Linked DNA regions of Lepisosteus oculatus. The protein of the gene in region 2 purifies or fractionates together with the protein of the main gene of each other region. This does not show direct contact. Links are inferred from orthologs where the notes say so. Each region holds a gene or a part of one and is shown on either strand. Other genes may lie near its edges.

The links. Proteins that work in one complex are often made in the same cells at the same time.
Region 1: the proteins of rnf185 (region 2) and erlin1 purify together in Homo sapiens (affinity purification with mass spectrometry; 3 studies listed by BioGRID and IntAct, with this or other methods). This does not show direct contact. The link is inferred for Lepisosteus oculatus from reciprocal best matches to the Homo sapiens genes RNF185 and ERLIN1.

What each region holds. Positions count from the first base shown.
Region 1 is NC_090699.1:17,618,832-17,622,582, forward strand, and holds the start of erlin1 (erlin-1), read right to left. Parts: upstream 2,422-3,751; 5' UTR 2,291-2,421; intron 1-2,290. UniProt on the Homo sapiens protein: Component of the ERLIN1/ERLIN2 complex which mediates the endoplasmic reticulum-associated degradation (ERAD) of inositol 1,4,5-trisphosphate receptors (IP3Rs).
Region 2 is NC_090717.1:6,590,318-6,594,068, forward strand, and holds the start of rnf185 (E3 ubiquitin-protein ligase RNF185), read left to right. Parts: upstream 1-1,115; 5' UTR 1,116-1,500; intron 1,501-1,527; exon of another isoform or gene 1,528-1,737; intron 1,738-1,756; exon of another isoform or gene 1,757-2,055; 5' UTR 2,056-2,154; intron 2,155-2,173; exon of another isoform or gene 2,174-2,439; intron 2,440-3,074; 5' UTR 3,075-3,132; coding exon 3,133-3,290; intron 3,291-3,751. UniProt on the Homo sapiens protein: E3 ubiquitin-protein ligase that regulates selective mitochondrial autophagy by mediating 'Lys-63'-linked polyubiquitination of BNIP1.

The DNA of each region.
Region 1 (3,751 bases), on a different chromosome or scaffold from region 2:
AACTGATTGCACTTTAAATACTGGGAAGGTTGAGGACCAACACATACCCTAAAGAGCTGACAGTGTGATCAAGAGTGATAAAAACACTCTTGCCAAGTATTTACGTATAAAGACCGCATAAACCAGGCTTAAGCTAGACTGTTTAAGCATGCTTAATTAAAACACTGATAAAATGAGAGAGGAATTCAGTAATACTACACTTGGGCCAGGTCTCTATAAGTCCTTAAGAGTGATTTTCTTTTTACACAGCTCATAGAAGGTACCACCTACCTTAACCAAGATGTTCAAGAGTCATAGCGGCAGCCTTGGGTACAATAACTGCTCAGAAGTAGAACATGTATATACAGTACTGTGACACATTTCATTTCAGAACAAGGGAAAAACAGGTTTCACACTGAGGTGCAGGAAGGTAACAAGTTCTCTGGGAATGACGCATACTGAAAGAGGTTTACAGGAATGCTCCAGACCACTACAGGCCCGAAGAGGTTTAAACCAGTGCTGAACAGATCATGTTCCATGGCGGGCAGGTCGGTTCCAGTGTGAGACAGCTGATCCCTTCCACCCAGCCCACAGCTGTGACACATTCCACAGCAAGAAGCAGGTGTCCCCAGAGCAGGCTAGGCTGTACTGTGGGCTCAGCTGCAGTCACGCCCCCTGATAACTGACAAGCCCACGAAACCAAGATCCACATGTACTGCAAATGATGTCTTATACCAACACCGAGAATGCACAACCTAGTGAGTTCACACAGTGCATCACAAACACCCACTGAATCTCCAGGTTGAGCAGTATGTTACTGCATCTATACAGGCATAAGAAACAAGACAGGTTTCAGATCTGTAAAGTGCATCAAAAGCATAGGGTGGCTGAACTTCAGCTTTTCAGACTGACTCAAATACCACCTTTGGAACTCAACACTAAATGAAATGTGTGAAAATGAAATGAAATGTGAAAAGAGAATATTGCACAGGTACTCGGAACAAATATTCGAAATCCTCAAAGTCCCAGCGGAATTCTCCAGACTTATCAGTGAAAACCTATCCATGCCTTTAAAGTTGAATTCCTTTTTTTATTTAAATTCTATTAGAAATTTAAAGAATCAAAAGGCAAGGCATACAATGGAAATATGTAAAAAGTATAATTTTAAGTTTTTACAATTGTGAATTCTTCTGGCTTTGAAGTGTTTATTTCTGTATCTATTTCATTATGGTGTTTAAATAAGAACTTGTTTTTTTTTTAAAAAACGTATCAGTGAAAAGCGAACCACTGGATTCAAGTAGAAACTATGGGGAAGTGCAATATAACTGAGAACAGAAGCGCTTTTTCACACAGAAGCCTGGTGTGGGAGTATGGCTTCTCTCAAGAAACAGACGAAACTCTCCATTCTGTCCGGGAAACATCTCACATTCTTTTAGCAAACACAAACTGGGCCTCTTCAGATTTGCCGTCCTTGAACTAAACCTTTGTTTTGGTTGCTCTTTCCAAGTATAACAACCTTGCTTAAGCCCATCCAGTGGATTACCCTGCCTTCCTCGTCTCCCGTGAGCAAACACCGTGCTCTTGCGCCTCAAATCCACAAGGAGCACACATGAACTCAGTTTAGCCTAGATGTGTTCCTAATGTTCTTGTCTGCTCCTTTTTTTTTAAATATAAAGGCACTTTCAGATGTATATTTAAACTTTCAGTTTATAGTTTGAGGTAATGCTCAAAAGCAACTTCAGGCGCTCTAACGATTTACTGTCAGTGTAAAACGTGATCTTTAGTCGGAGGGAATGACGTTAAACTGGAAATCGTGTCCAACATGATTTTTTTTGCTTGCCGTATAGTACATGTTCGTTTTCGTGAAGGGCTACCTAAATCGATACCTCCTGCACAATTCCAGTTGTATGGAGACAAATATACACATTCAGAAACGGAGAAAAAACACGAGTTACAACATGACCGGATCTTTCCCACAAGCCACAGTGGCTTATCGCCCCAGGATCTTGCTACTGTCTGCAGTAACAAGACCGCCACTCCGGACTCGGGACTAGCGGCCACAAGCACGAACGCCGCCCCTCTGCCCGTGTCCGTTCCTCGATTAAACCCGCAACACGTTATTTCAGCGAAGTTTTTCGATGCAATCGAGCTCTCCAACTCCCGAGCCCACGAACCAGTGCGGATTCAGCCAGTTGCACGGCGTGTAGCAAACAGGGAGGAAAAAAAAAAACTCCATGACGGATTACCATAATGAGTAATGGATTGCACACGTTAAATTAATTTAAAAAAAATCCCAATGCACTCTGCTCACCAAGCTTTCAAACAGTCTCTTCTGACAAGTCGGTTATGAGCGAAATCCTCCCTGTCCATCCCCCCCGCAGGACTCACTGCAGCAATGGACTCGACTCGCAGCTCCAGCGCCGCTTCTCTTCCGGGTGAAGAGTGCACCGCCCGTTAAAGGGGAGGGGAGAGGCCGGCCTGCCTGCCTGCCTTTGCAAGTATGCCGACGGATTTTGCGCTTAACCAGGTCTTACCGATTTTCGGTGACTCAACAGCTGTCAAATGGTACGGGTGATTGATTGCTCGACGGTTGGCATTTCGTGACCTAATCGCACTCCGAACCGAACACCCGTTTTTGAAACGGGATGAGGGCAAAACATCTGCGGGTTAGCGCCCGGGAAAAATAAAAGTCCCCCCCCCAGGAGTGTTTCTGGAAGACAATGCCTTTAAATCGGAAGATATTAGTTCATCGAGAAAAGGTGAAGGTACAACGCCAAGAGCAGCGAGATAAGCGCAGAGCGGTATTTGTCTTGGCACGGATTTAAAAAAAAAAAGTTCACACAGGGACGTATTTCACCGAACTACATGTGCAGGAGGGGCTGGTTCTGAATGTGTAGGTTTCCGGAAAATGATTTACTAAAGGTAACAGAAAAGATGTCACAGCAAAACAGAAATGACTTCTGTGAAGATGCAAGAACGGGCAGGCAACCCATCTGCCTTGCGCGTTTGTGTTCGCCCGGAGGCAGGTTCCCCGGGAATGTGTGTGTGGAAGGGTATCGGCAAACCAGCCGGTGTCTGTGCCCAGGGACTGTAGAACTGGGGGTTGCATGTAAGCTGTGAGACAGCGGATCCAAATATGAATTTGGCGGAAGGCTTTTAGTAGGTATAAAACTTCACTTGACCGGAAGGGGAAAAAATGCAGTTCAACATCACAGCATGCAGTAGTAAATCTTTTCATAAAAGTAAATAATAATTCTGAGCACTAAAACCCAAATCAACACATTACAGGTGCAATTGTGGTATTACATATTTAATTAATCACAATAATATGCATTTTTACACATTTACAATCAAACTGGTGTACACACTTTCAAAACTGTACAATTCCATCATTTAACAATTCCCAAACAGTATAAAATTACATGTTACACATTATCAGGTGTGTAGCTCTTCAAAGCAAAGCAGCATAAATTCATCTAAAAGATGCATCTTATGGACTAATAACAAAAAAAACGTCCATTGCATTACAATAAGAAACTATTTTTACAACTGCAAATTTCCTTTCAAAGAGCAAACTCCACTTCCATGTCCTTTTCAGTAGCAAATATGTAGAAATATTAAAAGTAACTGAAGTTGCTTTGTAAATCTTGCAGCTTATGACTCCAAAACTTGAAGTCTGTGAAAATATGTACTTGGTCTTGACAGCTCTCCTGGAGTTGAACCGTTTTGAATTCTGGGTGGCACTGCTTCATTTATGGTTATAGTAAGGCTT
Region 2 (3,751 bases):
TTTACTGCGTTTATTTTTGCTTGTTTATTCATCTTCCTTTCCAGTTTAAATCGTGAAAGATGCATGGCCTCTTTTTGACCCATTCCACTCGATTATTATTATTATTATTATGGTGGTGGTTGTGGTGGTTCTGATTGTGTTCTCTGATCTGTCACAAGAAAGGATCACAAGAGCACTCTCTTGTGGTCATTTCTAAATAGTGAAATGTTGTGCCAGAACAACAAATTAAATTTTGTTGTTGTTGTTGTTGTTGTTATTTTTGGAGAAAATATGAATATTTGGATTTTTTATTTTAAATTAAAAATTAACTCCATAAGAAATGTTCTGCAACTATTACAAAAAATGATGGTTCTACCTGTACATCATTAACTTTCGTCCGTGCGTTGACACATTAATACTTGAATCGAGCTGTTAAAAATGAAAAATAACGAAAATTAACATTACAAAATGTAATGCATCCATTTTTTACGGGTTTAAGTAATTACTGCGTTACGTTTTAATGTCTCATTCTTTACCAGGCAAACAGCTGTCCTGCAACATGTAAATCGATTAATTTGCAGAAGTGAATGTAACGCATTGCGCGATTAATCGCAAATGAATGTACATTAATTTACAGGACAGATGGAAACATATAACCCTGTTTAGAGGCAGAGAGAGTCAGTGTCAGGATGGCCGAGTGGTCTAAGGCGCCAGACTCAAGGAGCGACTCCTTCCCCGGGCGGGTATTCTGGTCTCCGAATGGAGGCGTGGGTTCGAATCCCACTTCTGACATGACCTTTTTTGTCTCTTGTTTTCTCCCACCGTATAAAAACGGACGCGTCCCATTCTCTGTTATAAAAGTTCTGTATTTTAGATTGAGAATATTCCGCGTCCGTGAGGACAATCTAAAACGCGTGTTTAGCTTTTGCCCCTTCTTGTTACCACGACGTGCCCGCGTCTCCACTCTTCACCTGGCATCGGCTTCACCAGTAAAACCGCCGAGACACCGCCAGGGGGCACTGCTCTCGCCTTTTCAGACAAAACCCGAACCAACACGGGTCTTGGCCTCTCGTTTAACCATCAGACCCACAATACACGGTGTACCTGTACTTGCTTGGTAAAGACAGGGGTCTTACAAGCCTTAATATATGATGACGGATGTTTTTTTGGCAATAGTGGGCCCCGAAACAGGCTCGCCCAAGAAACGAAATGCATGCCGCGGCGTCTCTTAAAGTGGGCGGAAACAGAAATGCGGCGCCAGATAGTTCGGCTACACCTCAGACGTGTTTCGTTTGAGTCTGTCGGTTTTCTCTACGGCGGCCCTCCTTGCCAGGGACGCGATAAATAGATCGAGTCCGTCCCGGCGCGGCTCGCGGCTCTCGCTCGGGTCACGCTGTCGCGTTCCTGCGCGTGTGCTTCCGGGTGCTGTCGGAGTCGGGGCAGCAGGGGATCCAACCAGACAGACGGACCCAGGAGCAGGAGCAGCAGCAGCGAGAGGAAAACTCGAGAAACCGAGGAGAGGTCAGGCGGTGTGCCGTGACGGTTTTGTTGTTTTCGGGGCGATCGGCGCGGACGCCGAGCCGATCCGAGCCACGACAAGTAGTGAAAACACGGGGGGGGTGTCTTCCAAGACATTCCCCGAGTACCTCCGGCACTGCTTATAACCCGACGTCGTTGACGCATACAAGAATGAAACGGCCCTGACCCGTGTCCTAGCACAAGCCCACGACGGGGAGTTGGCTTTGACACCGGTTTCGTGTAAGAGTGCACTATTGTGTCGCCAGTCGTGCGTCTTTGCGTGAGTCAGTTTTGCGCCGGGGTTGCGTGAGGCCCTCCGGGACTCGTCTCCCTGCGCCTGTCGCCGTCTGTCGCTCCGGCTGGGGTCGCGCTCGGGTTGTCGACAAGGGCTTTACACCATGCTTCTGAGCTTCTGTGGGACACGATTTGCTGAGCTGTTCACCTGAAACACGGATCTAACTGTTGCAGTGAGGCGGCGGGGGGGTATTGCGGGTCTGTTGCAGCACCTGGGTCAGTGATAACCTGTCTCCTTGCCATTGGCCCCTGGTGCGGGGTCAGGGTTTTCCTTCAGACCCAGTCGGTGCGATCCTGTTCGTGACGGTGTCACCAGGCTGTTACTAAATCTGGACGGGTGGCTCTGGTCTAGATAATCGTCCAGTAAGTACTCGGGATTTGCGGAGCAAGCTGAGACTTGATATGCTTTGTTATGTTGAGAGACTTTTATTCTTGGTGTACACGATCACCTAACTCACCTTTTCACGAAGGGACCTCCGATTCTGAAAGGACAGCATTTTTCCACGGTTTCCACGAGAAATAACTACATCCGGCAGTCGTTGTCTGGAGTGTACTTGCTGAACTACTTTGTGGATTTGATCGATATAATAAACATAATTCGGATATAAGAATACTCCGAATTAAATAGCTAAGATCTCTACAATTACGGTATTTTTTTTTAAATACAATGTATGCTAACATGGCTGGAATTCAGAGATGAAGCATTAATATTTGACTAACTTTTCTTCCAGTTAAGGTTTCAGTGAAATCACAACTGTCTCCTGGTTTTCCTCGCTGTTATTAATTAATAGTATGATCTTTTTTTAAAGATGTCTTGGATTTTGTTTTGCACTTGTGACGGTGTCAGTATTCGGACGCGAACATGGTGTTTTGAAATAACCTGCCTATCTCTCTCCTAAGTGCAGAAGCCCTTCCTTGTAAAATGATTTGACATGGCTACGATTCGTCCTGGTATTGTAGTCATTTTCTGTCCACTGTTTAGTTGTTCAGCTACTGTATTAACCAGTTTTCTGACACTGCATCTTATATTTGTGCACTGTTCTTTGCAGTTCATTGTCCTGAATATTAGCCATCTTCCTCTGTGTTAATAAGCGCTTTGATGTACTTTATAATGAAAATTGCTATATAGATACAAGGAATTCTTATTAAGCTCTGTGGATAAATATACTAAAAGGCAATAAAGTGCAACAAATGAGTGTTGGAAGAAGCAGCATTTGTTGTGTTTTCAGTGCCTCGCGGTATACTTGTAACAGATCTCAAACGCTGTCCTGTGCTTTCTCTAGGAGCCAGCAACAGAGGGCTAGCTTTTCCTGTCCGCCGTTCCCTTGACTACAGCCGGAGATGGCCAGCGCGGGCCCTACGGCCTCTGGCTCCACGGACAGTGCCAGCACCGGCTGCACCACCGGAGAGGGGAGTAACCAGGACAGCACGTTTGAGTGCAACATCTGCCTGGACACAGCCAAGGACGCGGTCATCAGTCTCTGTGGACACCTGTTCTGGTGTGTGTGCGTGGATCCGTGTACCTGTTTCCCAGAATTCCATGTGCTAACGGGGGGGGGGGGGTGGGGCAGAGCCGCAGACAGGGGTGTCAGTGCGATGTGGGGGTGGGACAGGTGTGGTCCTGTGTCAATTTGTGAATGAAGAGGCACATTTAGAATTATTGGCATGGGCTATTCCGTTGTAAGCACAGGGTGAGCTACACGTTAGAAATTGTCGTGACAGCAGATTAGTTAGTTGTGGGCTTTCTTCTTTGCTGATAATGTCTAGAAGACAGCTTTCAAGGCATGATGGTCAAGATGGGCGGAGCCGTGGCTCTGTGGCTAAGGATCTGCGCCTGTGACTGGAAGGTTGCCGGTTCAAATCCCGTGGCCGGCAGAGGAATCCTACTCCTGCTACTCCTGAGCAAGGCCCTTCACCCCAACTGCTTCAGGGGCGCCGTACAATGGCTGACCCTGCGCTC